Macaca fascicularis: one gene and its partners. The protein of the gene in region 2 binds, or shares a complex with, the protein of the main gene of each other region. Links are inferred from orthologs where the notes say so. Each region holds a gene or a part of one and is shown on either strand. Other genes may lie near its edges.

The links.
Region 1: the proteins of STX17 (region 2) and SNAP29 are in contact, whole or in part, in a crystal structure (PDB 4WY4), measured with the Homo sapiens proteins. The link is inferred for Macaca fascicularis from reciprocal best matches to the Homo sapiens genes STX17 and SNAP29. Residues at the interface, in NP_060389.2 of Homo sapiens: Glu170, Trp172, Glu173, Leu175, Glu176, Leu179, Ile180, Ser183, Val186, Thr187, Phe189, Ser190, Val193, Asn194, Gln196, Gln197, Ile200, Ile203, Ala204, Val207, Asn208, Ala210, Ala211, Val214, Glu215, Thr218, Leu221, Gly222, Ala224, Ala225; in NP_004773.1 of Homo sapiens: Arg52, Thr56, Ser59, Thr60, Arg62, Ser63, Leu66, Glu69, Ser70, Val73, Gly74, Ser77, Glu80, Leu81, Gln84, Val87, Leu88, Thr91, Met94, Val95, Lys97, Met98, Asp101, Leu102, Ile104, Ser105, His108, Ile109, Ser111, Ile112.
Region 3: the proteins of STX17 (region 2) and VAMP8 are in contact, whole or in part, in a crystal structure (PDB 7BV6), measured with the Homo sapiens proteins. The link is inferred for Macaca fascicularis from reciprocal best matches to the Homo sapiens genes STX17 and VAMP8. Residues at the interface, in NP_060389.2 of Homo sapiens: Ser171, Trp172, Thr174, Leu175, Asp178, Leu179, Glu181, Leu182, Leu185, Val186, Phe189, Leu192, Val193, Gln196, Glu198, Lys199, Ile200, Ser202, Ile203, His206, Val207, Ser209, Ala210, Asn213, Val214, Glu216, Gly217, Thr218, Asn220, Leu221; in NP_003752.2 of Homo sapiens: Gly9, Val13, Leu16, Gln17, Val20, Glu21, Val23, Lys24, Met27, Thr28, Asn30, Val31, Ile34, Leu35, Arg37, Gly38, Leu41, Glu42, Leu44, Arg45, Thr48, Glu49, Leu51, Glu52, Ser55, Glu56, Phe58, Lys59, Ser62, Gln63.

What each region holds. Positions count from the first base shown.
Region 1 is NC_088384.1:31,848,077-31,851,721, reverse strand, and holds part of SNAP29 (synaptosomal-associated protein 29), read right to left. Parts: intron 3,418-3,645; coding exon 3,332-3,417; intron 714-3,331; coding exon 615-713; intron 1-614. UniProt on the Homo sapiens protein: SNAREs, soluble N-ethylmaleimide-sensitive factor-attachment protein receptors, are essential proteins for fusion of cellular membranes.
Region 2 is NC_088389.1:58,150,271-58,153,915, reverse strand, and holds part of STX17 (syntaxin-17), read left to right. Parts: intron 1-2,438; coding exon 2,439-2,525; intron 2,526-3,229; coding exon 3,230-3,469; 3' UTR 3,470-3,645. UniProt on the Homo sapiens protein: SNAREs, soluble N-ethylmaleimide-sensitive factor-attachment protein receptors, are essential proteins for fusion of cellular membranes.
Region 3 is NC_088387.1:36,008,961-36,013,035, forward strand, and holds the start of VAMP8 (vesicle-associated membrane protein 8), read right to left. Parts: upstream 2,811-4,075; 5' UTR 2,715-2,810; coding exon 2,712-2,714; intron 1,351-2,711; coding exon 1,192-1,350; intron 1-1,191. UniProt on the Homo sapiens protein: SNAREs, soluble N-ethylmaleimide-sensitive factor-attachment protein receptors, are essential proteins for fusion of cellular membranes.

The DNA of each region.
Region 1 (3,645 bases), on a different chromosome or scaffold from region 2:
TTTGTATTTTTAGTAGAGACAGGGTTTCACCATGTTGGTCAGGCTGGTCTTGAACTCCTGACCTCAGGTGATCCACCTGCCTTGGCCTCCCACAGTGCTGGGATTACAGGCGTGATCCACTGCGCCTGTCCCCCTGCACACCCTTCTGTTTTGAAACATCATGCTGGAGGCTGTGTGGCCAAAATGCCAATTGCAACACGAGCGCTAATTACATCCCAGGCACTTTCTGGCTCAGGTAACCTTCCCACTGTTCTCAGAGGCAGCCCGTTTCACAAGGAGGAAAACAGGGCTCTGAGTGGCCAGGTGGGAAGGGAAGGATGGAGTAAGCGGTCATGTCCAGGCTCCACTTTATCGCCTCTCAGGGACTCCTGGGTCCCTGGTGCTGTTCATGAAAGTGAGAGGTGGGGAGGGCTCGGTTGGGCTGGAAGTAGGAAATGGTGAGAAATGGAGAGATTCCAGAGACAGTGAGGTGGCAAGATGGACCCAGCTTAGTGTGGGATGCGATGTGTGGGGAGGGAGCTGAAGCTGGAGGGTCCTCACGTAGGGGCTATGCTTGGCGTGAGCTGCCTGAAGGAACAGTGGCTTACAGAAGCTGGTGTGGCGCTCAGTCTTACCTAGGTTGCTGTCGATCTTCTGGTGATAGGCTCGAAGGTGTGGGTTCTTTGGGTAAGCATCGGTACTCACAGCAGAACCAGCCCCTCTGGGGACAGGGTCTAAGTTTAGAAGGAGACACCAGGAGAGTGGTTAATTGACATTGTTCAAATGCTGCTTCACACACCCAAAACAATTTCATCTGGAAAATGGGTGGAAGGAATGAAAGGTTGGTTCTGAGGCTATCCAGAGGGATGAGGGAGGAGCACAGTGCAGGCTCATGGGCCAGGAGAGATGCTTCCACAGGGTAGGGGATGGTTCCCACTTTCCCTCAGTCCTTGGGAGATGAAAGACCCTCAAACTAAGGGTCACCTACTCAGACCCTGGTGCACAAGCTCAGGAAAGACACGAGTCACACAAGTGACAATACACAGTGGAACTGCAATAATGCAAAACTACACAGTCTGTGGACAAAGTCTAAAAATACACATTGTTACGTTACATAAATGGAATTATGGGTAATTTTGTTTCTTTCCGAAATTTATCTCTACGCTATATTTTCACTTGAAACAAATAAGCCAAAAAAAAAAAAAAAAAAAAAAGAAATGTTAAATAATGCACATTTGCCGTAAGAAATCTTCCTTGAACCCTAGTTTCTTCTTTTTTAAAGTTATCTTTCTTGGCTTGAATGAACTTCAGTTTCTAAATGCACACAGAAAAGCCCTGTCATCCCAGTTTATCTCCTTTAGGGAAACATCACTTTCTAGACTTAGCATATTTCCTCCAGCACCAACCAACTGAAACCATACTGCAAACTGTGCCGATTTTTTTTTTCAGTCTTTTTTTTTTTTTTTTTTTTTTTGAGACGGAGTCTCGCTCTGTAGCCCAGGCTGGAGTGCAGTGGCCGGATCTCAGCTCACTGCAAGCTCCGCCTCCCGGGTTCACGCCATTCTCCGGCCTCAGCCTCCCGAGTAGCTGGGACTACAGGCGCTGCCACCTCGCCCGGCTATTTTTTGTATTTCTTAGTAGAGACGGGGTTTCACCGTGTTAGCCAGGATGGTCTCAATCTCCTGACCTCGTGATCCGCCCATCTCGGCCTCCCAAAGTGCTAGGATTACAGGCTTGAGCCACCGCGCCCGGCCATCAGTCTTTTAATATATACGACACAAATGGAAACTCCTTAATTCCTTAAAATTGTGTCTTGGGTGCAGTGTCTTGTGCCACTTCTCCAGGGTGTGATGAGGCCGATTTTCCCCACCCTTGCCTTTCAATTTACACTCACTTCCTCCACTTGCCTTTCCAGACTGAACTGTGCTGATGGTGTCAGTCTCTCCTGCTTCCCGCTCTTCCTCCATCTGATCTCCCCAGCTGCATCGACCACAACCATGGTGGGTTCCAGAGCTTCCATGGTGTATCGTTTTCTTGAAGGCAGCACAGTTTTAAGCCTTTGGTTTCTAGCACCAATTTCAATGTACCCTGGCTGTTGGGGGGCCTATGACGGAGGCCCCAGAAGCCCTAAATTCCTTTCCAGATAAGGGATATTTCTGGGCCTATCACTTGATAGAAGTGGAATGATTTGACCAACACTCACTGTCTTGCACACCTTGTCCATGTGGCTGCTGCTCCTCCTGCTTGGGCTGGAGGCTGTATTAGCCCCTCATTGATGCTGTGACAAATGACCACAAACTTGTCTTACGGTTCTGGAGGTCAGAAGTCCAACGTGGGTCTCACTGGGCTGAGTCGGGGTGTCCTCAGGGTTGCACTCCTTCTGGAGCTCTTGGGAAGAATCTAATTCCTCACCTTTTGCAGTTTTTAGAGTTCACTTGTGTGCCTTGGCAGGTGAGTCCCTTTCTCCATCTTCAAGGCCAGCAACATCTTCAGATCTCTGACTCTGCCACTCTCTCTTCTGCTTCTCTTTCCACTTAAAAGGGACCTTTGTGATGACACTGGACCCAACTGGACAACCCAAGATAATCTCCCCATCTTGCTGATTAGCAATTGTAACTCCATCTGCAACTGTAATTCCGCCTTTGCCATATAACCTAACAGACTCACGGGGTCTGGGGATTAGGACGTGGACAGCTATTTACCAAGGGGTTTTTCTGTAGTTGCCTTTTTACTGCTGGAACAACTGAGAGTGACATAGGCAGGAACCGATGATGGGCAGGCTTATTGTCTTTTTTGAGACAGAGTTTCACTCTTGTTGCCCAGGCTATAGTGCAGTGGCATGATCTCAGCTCACTGCAACCTCTGTCTCCCAGGTGCAAGTCATTCTCCTGTCTCAGCCTCCCAGGTAGCTTGGATTAGAGGCATATGCTACCACACTTGGCTAATTTTTTTGTGTTTAGCAGAGACGGGGTTTCACCATGTTAGTCAGGCTGGTCGCAAACTCCTGACCTCAGGTGATTCACCTGGCTTGGCCTCCCAAAGTGCTGGGATTACAGGCGTGTGTTATTGCACCAGGCTAGGCAGGCTCATTTTCAATGGAACGCAGGCCTTCACTTCCTTATTCTCCTCTCCATGGAGGCAGGGAGGAGGGAGGAGCCCTACCATAAGGCACACCCCTAGTTCCCCAAGAGCATGCCGGGTCCCTAAGGCCCTTTGGCTAGCATGGGTGATGCTGGCAGCTGGGGCCCCTGCCCACTTCCCCCGAGAGATTGCTACTGCCCCCTAAGGACCAATGCCAAACCCAGAGGTCTCCCTGCTAGAATTCGGGCTGTGCACACAGGTATCCACTTACCTGTATCATCCAGCTTTCTAAGGTTTGGGTGGCTGGCCTGGTACTTTGCTTCCTGTTCTTTACTTGTACTTATGGCTTCTTTCAATCTTTGGATAAAAGTTTACAAAAAAGGACAGTATTAAAAAAGGAAAAATCCCTATGACAATGTTATCAGTATTTTCACATAATGCCTGTATGCCAAAAATCAAATGCTTCTTCTGTACCAAACTCCTTCTGACCAAAGTAGGGATTTCAACAGCTTCTCCTAGGAGCACAGCTGGCCAAGCAATAAGCCTACAAAGACCCCTGCCTCAGAAGTGTGGCAGCTAAGCCAG
Region 2 (3,645 bases):
TCTTGTGGTTGCTTCAGTTATTCCAAATGATTTTTATGAAAAAATATTTAAATTGTATTAAAGTTTTGCTTTAATTTTAAAAAGTCATAGAAATACAATATCCAACCGTTTTTAAAGGAAGGAACATTAAAAAGTATTTCCCTGAGGCTTTACGATTACACTTGGGGTATAGAAATGGCAATAATCCTGGCAGGCTCCTCCCTCTTGCTGGAATTATTTTGGGGCTGAAGGAAGGGAGACACATTGACTATTTTTCTTCTACCTATCAACTCATCAACATATGACGGCTGATGATAGAGTTTTAAGCCTGTGATTTATCTGCTAGCATAGACTGTTTCAGGCAAGAGTGGAAAGTGTTGGGGGTGTCCTAAATAGAAACAATGATAGGGTGTCAGAAATCTAGACAAGTTGTATATTATTAGTGCTGGAACTTTTTCTTCTATGGGTCAGAAAAAGAAAGCTGACTTAAATAAGTTTTGCTATTGAGGAAAACAAAAATTGAATGAATGAATGCTAAAAGATACCTAATGTTTTAGTGTCCTAGAATTGTCAAGATTCAAAAGAAAAAGTTAAATATATTTTTTTGATAGAAAGATGAGAGTTAACACTTCCTTGGGGAAGGATGAATTTTTCTATTTTTCCCCCTCACACTTTGCAAACACATTTTATCCCCACTTCAACTCTATGAAGGTGTAAGTATCATCATTCTCACATGATAAATGAGAATACTGACACCTAGAGAGCTTGAGTAATTTGTCTAAGAGCACATAGTGGCATTTGCTGAGATATGAACACAGATTACCTGACTAAAGGTGATGCCCTTGATCTGAGCACATATAATAGTGGTTCTTAAAGTGTGAGAATTGTGGACTGGCAGCATCAGCATCACCTGGGAGCTTACTATCTCAGGCTTCATCTCAGGCCTACTGGATCAGAAACACCAGGGATGGGGCCCAGCAATTTGTGTTTTAAGAAGCCTCCAGGTGGAAGACTGAGAACCATTGTTAAACTTGTCTCTAACAGAGACATTCAAAGGAAAACTGATAAGGGACTTTCTTAGGGATTGTGTTAGAGATGTCAGGATAGTGGTGGAGAATATTGGAATGAAGGGATACCACAATGGCGAAGACAGACATATTTTGTGTATGAGAAGGGAAGGAATATCAATAATGCTAAGAGGAAACAAACATGGGAAAAAATAGCTGTGTGGTTTGGGCTTCATGTTTTCAAATGAAATAATGGTTGGAATTAGAAAAGTGTTATTTGTATCTGCCTCAATATAAATGAATAGGCCAATTATATAAGGGCAATCAAACTCTTCAGGATTAAAGTTAATTATTTCACCCTCATTGTAGGTGGCATCTATCTAGGATCAAAGAGAGATTCTCTTTTTTCTGCACATTAAAAAAAAACAAAACCAAAATAGTCTGTAAACTGCGATAGTTGATTATATGTTGGCTTATACATTTGTTGTTTATACATTTGTGATTGTTGGTTTATACATTTACTAAATCTCATACTATACCATTAAAAGCAGTACTTGTTATATGTAAATTCTATCTAAGTAAAGTTGAATTAAAAATGGGAATGTGTTCCTACAGCAAGTAATGAGTTCGTGGCACTGGAGGTTTCTGAGCAGTGGTTCAGTAACCACTTGTCAGGAATGTTTTAGTAGGGCTTCGCACATCAGAGAGGAGACTGACCTGATGACCTCAACATTCCTTCTACCCAGAGATTCCATGAGTCATAGTTGCTGTTGTGCCAGCACAGGTGTTGCCATTTTATGTAGAATGCTTTATTAATATATTTGATCTGAAACATTTTAAACTGTCATGATTTTACAATGTGTTAAGATATACAGGTATAAAGCGCAGAACAGTGAATTCATTCACTGTTCCCTACTGCATATTACAAATGGAAAGATCTCATAGTAGATCAAACCATATTGTAGTCTTGTTCCGGAAACATCACAATTTGTATTTATTGGACCAAGGGCATTTTACTACTAAGGTAAATGTGCCTGATTTAAACTGAATCCTCAAAGAAGATAAGTTAGGGAGGTGTTTTGGGGTTTGATTTTTTTTTTTCCATCAAACCCAACATGACATGTAAATGATTATTTGGATTTTTTTTTTTTTTTCTGGAAAGTAGATTCATTTGGAGAATAATATGTTTGTATGTTTGAGTGAATTTTAGTGTGAGATGGTTTTTGCTGTAAGGTTGCCACCCTTTTATTACCTAATAATTAAGACCCCCCCCTTTTTTTATGAAAGTTAATTGGTCCTTTTGACATTGCTTATCAGATGCTATTAATGAACCACTATTAAGACGGCAAGGCTGCAGTACCCGGGGCCCTGATTACAGGAATTAAAATAGTGTGTGTTGACTCCCTGCTGCTCCCCAGCAGGACCGCTCACTCATAATTCCTTTGCATCTAGTCTCAGCAGGAGAAGATTGACAGCATTGCAGACCATGTCAACAGTGCCGCTGTGAATGTTGAAGAGGGAACCAAAAACTTGGGGAAGGTAAGATTCTGCTCCTGCTGACAAATCAATGGTACTCTGGCTCCCAGGAATCTCTAGTATTAACCCAATTGATCTGCTCTCTTCAATGTTGAGGGAACCAGCAATTAAGGAAATAAGGAAGAAATGACACATAGGTAGTGCAAGAAATCAATGTTGTAATATTCTACTCTAAGATTCATTCTATCAGGAGAGGAATTTCTTCAAAGAGAGAATAAACTGTAGCCCTGCTATAAGGTATTTGGTGTTACCAGGAAATATTTGCAGAGGGTGAAAGTGTAAGTATGTGACAGCACACGTGGAGTGGGACCATCTATTTTCCATAGGATGTTGCTTTTAACCCCAGGCACACAGCACAGAATAATCTCTGTGCAACATAAAAGCTTTGGGGGAAATCTGTGGCTGCCGAAACAGTTTAAATAAGCCAGCTAGATAGTTAGTGAATTGATTGTTTTGCAAGTAAAATCAATTTGTAGCAGTCCACTCTTTGTAGCTCAGCTCTCTAAGTTCTGAGATCTGGAGCAATTGCTGTACCTGTGGAATACTTTCTTTTCCCCCCTACAAGTACAGTCTCGAAGGTTAATTATGTACCAAGAGTTAAAGAGGCATTGCCAGGAGTAATGATAGGAAAACGCACATCACCACAGGCAGATATTCTCAACTCAATTTCTAAATTGAATTTTTTTTTTTTTTTTTTTTTTATACAGGCTGCAAAATACAAGCTGGCAGCTCTGCCTGTGGCAGGTGCACTGATCGGAGGAATGGTAGGGGGTCCTATTGGCCTCCTTGCAGGCTTCAAAGTGGCAGGAATTGCAGCTGCACTTGGTGGTGGGGTGTTGGGCTTCACAGGTGGAAAACTGATACAAAGAAAGAAACAGAAAATGATGGAGAAGCTCACTTCCAGCTGTCCAGATCTTCCCAGCCAAACTGACAAGAAATGCAGTTAAAAACCAAACTTCAGGATTATTGGTGCCAACATGTGTATCCTAATGAGGATCTTTGCTGCTGTTGGACCCTCCATCACCTTTTGGAACACAAGTATATCAAGATAGTGGCTACTGATGTTCAAGTGGGATTGAAGTGTGATAAGTGGATATATTTTGTTGTTTGCTGGGGTGTTCAT
Region 3 (4,075 bases), on a different chromosome or scaffold from region 2:
GACCAGGACAGTACAGAGGGTTGGAAGTAAGGGAACTCCTCCTCCTCCATGCACTCTTCCCCATGCCCAGCAATTCGAGTTATAGACACTAAATTTCCTAGTGCTTGTCCAGGCATGGTGACTCAAGTCTGTAATCCCAGCACTTTGAGAGGCCAAGGTGGGTGGATCACCTGAGGTCAGGAGTTCGAGACCAGCCTAGCCAACATGGCAAAACTTCGTCTCTACTGAAAATACAAAAATTAGCCAGGTGTGGTGGTGCACACTGTAATCCCAGCTACTCAGGAGGCTGAGGCAAGAGAATCATTTGAACCCAGGAGGCGAAGGTTGAAGTGAGCCGAGATTGCACCACTCTAGCCTGGGCAACAGAGTGAGGCTCTATTAAAAAAAAAAAAAAAAAAATCCTGGGGCCGTGCTCCCCAAATTAAGCTACAATTAAGCTACAGAAACAGGCAATGAGCCCCAGGGAGACAAGGGAGCAATACCCAAGAGCCAAGAGTTCACACAGGACTAAGAAAGCCAGAGCCAGCTTCCCAGCTGGACACAAAACCTGAGGCTCCAGACTTTGCTCAACTTTGGAGTTACTTCCTCCCTGAAACAGCTGGCCGCAGCCCCTGGCTGGAGAGAGAGAAGAATGAGGTCTAGCAAGATGTGTGGGAGATATTATTTTAGCCTTCATCTAGCAGGGGACCCTGGGATCAAAGCATTTCTCTGCTCTTTCCTCCTTCTTTTTAAAGCCAACTCAGCAAGATACCAGCAATTTCCCACCCCTTGTCTAATAGCTCCTAGAGAAGGCTAGAGGCCACGGTGGGGGGGTTTCCTCAAAGCCAATACTTCTGCCCTGGGAAGGTCAGATCCAAATGATTGTCATGGGCAGGCTTCAAAGGGAAAACAAGTTTCCCGGGAGAGAAGCCTGAGAATGCATGGGCTGACTGAGCTATCGGTCTCAGAATATGCCTCTATGGGTGAGCTGCCACCTCAAGCCCCAGTCATGGGATCCATTCCCTGGGATCCATAACAATCTGTGGAGCAGAGCAGATTCAGAAGTGGAGACTCAGCTCACATCAGCTCCCAAACCAGGTGAAAGGCAACAGAAATGTTACACTTCTGACCCTCCTGTTCATTTTGCCCCACCAAAAAGAAATTCCCTCCCTTCCTCTTTTCCTCCAGCCTCCAGTGGGCTCCCTGTCTCACTGTGGCTTCCAGATCCTCTGTCTTGTTGCGGAGATGTTCCAAGTTTTCCCCTCGGGCCAGGATCCGCTCCACATTCTGGGTCATAATATTCTTAACTCCCTCCACCTCACTCTGCAGGTTCCGCACGCGATCATTTCCTCCACCTTCACTGGCTTCCTCCTGCACAGCAACACGGGGTTAATTAGACCAAGTGGTGGGGGAACTGGAGACTTGGCCTCAGAGGCCTGGGGAGGGTAAGGCCTCAGGCAGACTTCAGCTTTTTGTAAAATGCTTGAAATGTTTACAAAGAGAATGTTTTCATGTATTACTTGTGTAATCAAAAATAAATGCATTTGTAAGCCCCAGAAGGTAAGACGTGATGCTAAAGAGACTAGATCAAACTTCTTTCAGGATTGTTAGGACCCCTGACAAGGAAAAGCAGCGCATCACTAAATCCCTCCCCACTGCTTCCTTGCTCCCTAGAGAAGGCCATAGAATACAGCAGAGCCGGCATCTCACAATGTTCCCTTTCCAGGGCAGAGCCCACCACTATTTACAATTCCCGGAGCCACCCCTCTTTCCTGATTTCTCGGGATCCTCATTGAAAGTGTCTGTGCTGGCCAGCAAAACACCCTCACCCAGCCTGACCCATCTGCCCCTCTAAATAGCTGCTGGAGCATGGCCCTGGCCGCAATGCCATTGCTGCTGTGACCCAGAACAACAGGCAACCAAGTACCCCAGAAGGCGCCCACAGCCGTTGAGCCACACACTTCTGCTTTCCCTACCACTGGGCACCACGCACAGGCACCAAGCAACCACCTGCTTATGCAGACATTAAATAAAAATACCCGCCTGGGTGTTGGGGGAAATGGAGGACTAGTCCTCCCTGGCTGATGTCTCATCTCAGAGACTTCATGACAAGGTTTTTGAACAAGGAGAGAAAAACATTATTAAGCTCCTCCCTCCTTGACCTCCAAAAACAGGCCAGTGGCATGGGTCAGAACTAGCTTATCACAGAGAACCAACTTCTGGTTATCTTATAAACCCTTAGTTCTCTTCTTCATGTTAATGGAGAAAGGACACCCAAAGGACTCAGTGGACACACAAATCCTTTGTGTTTCTGTGTAGGGATAAAGTGAAAGGCCAGAGAGGAGAGCTCCTGCCGCTGGGCTGGAATCTGAACTGGAAACTGCCCAAGCACTGCCTGGTGGTGTCACAACACCCGCCTCGGGCTCCCTGGAGGAGGAAGGCACAACAACACTTTGCCTGGAATTCGGAGCCCCCATTGGCACTGGCACGGAAGCCCAGCTCCCCACCAGCACAGAGGTCAGGGGAGGGAGGAAGAAGGAATAGAAACACCTGCTAGGACGGTTCAGAGCTATTTGCAGCCAAGTTGTCAAAGAGGAGAGGCCACAGGCAGCACTGGCCCAGCCCTCTAACTTTGCCGCCAACTCTCCTCCCCCCCCACAGCCAACCCCCAGTCCCGAGCCCCTTCTGGCTCCTCTTTAAATCAGCCCTTTCCTAGTTTCCAGTTCGCTCACCATGTCTCAGAGCAGCCCGGGCCGATCAGCAGGTGAATTAGCCTAGTCGGCTTCCTCCCAGGGTGGCCGTCAGCTCACTTCCTGCTTGCTCCAGCTTTCAGCCTGCCCCCGCCCACCTCGCATCTCGAGTCGCTCCAGCCACACCTAACTCAGGTTTCCCCAGGTAGGCGGGCACTCTTCACTGTCCACCCAGTGGCTTCCCAAACAAGAGCTTAAGCTTAGAGTAATAGGGCTCTCAGATGTTAAAGGTCTTCTAACTTTTCAGGAATTAGAAAAGAAAGATCAAGCAGCCCTCCAAGGTTTCCTGAGGCTGGACCTCCTGATCTAGAAAGGGCAGCCATCTCTCTCTCTCTTTCTTTTTTTTTTTTTTTTTAATAGAGATGAGGTCTCACCATGTTGCCCAGGCTGGTCTCAAACTCCTGGGCTCAGACAATCCTCCCACCTCAACCTCCCAAAGTCCTAGGAGCCATGACGCCCCACCAGCCATCTCCTTTTAATGTCTTGAATATCTGACTCCAGTTTCTAGAGACAGAGATCAACCATGCCAGGCCTGGCTCACAGGGAAATAAAATGCAGTTATGAAAATTTCTTGCTGGATAACACTTGTTCTCAGGTCCCTCAGTGACAGAAAGCACTAAAACCCCTGAAGTCTGGAATACTGTGATCCTGGGCTCTGATTCAGAAAGCTCTGGGTTACTAGTTACAGGCCCCTGAGTGAACCTTTTCACCTCTGTGGAGTTTGCAGGTGCTGATGCTTAGCTCAGACAGTGCTGGTAAGAAGCAAAAAGAGGCTGGGCATGGTAGCTCACGCCTGTAATCCCAGTACTTTGGGAGGCCAAGGCAGGCAGATCACTTGAGGTCAGGAGTTCGAGACCAGCCTGGCCAACATGGCAAAACCCCGTCTCTACTAAAAATACAAAATAATTAGCCAGGCATGGTGGCAGGTGCCTGTAATCCCAGCTACTCAGGAGGCTGAGGCGGGAGAATCGCTTGAACCTGGGAGACAGAGATTGCAGTGAGCTAAGACTATGCCATTGCACTCCAGCCTGGGCAATAAGAGCAAGACTCTGTCTCAAAAAAAAAAAAAAGATAGCGTGTGCAGTGCACTGCCACTAGCACAGTGTCTGTAATGATGGCTCACCAAACCCCTCCTTCCCTTCCAGAGTTCAGCAATTCTGCATTTCCCTTCAGGGACCACCAGAGAGGTAATTGATCCCAGTCAGTGATCAGTGATCAGAAGACTGCCCTGGTGTACCAGAGCAGGGGCCCAAGGCAAAGGACTTTTCCACTAACCTGGCTCCAGGCCGGAGAAAATCTGTTCTTCCTTGACAGTGTTTATCAAGACAGAAGAACAATAACAGGGA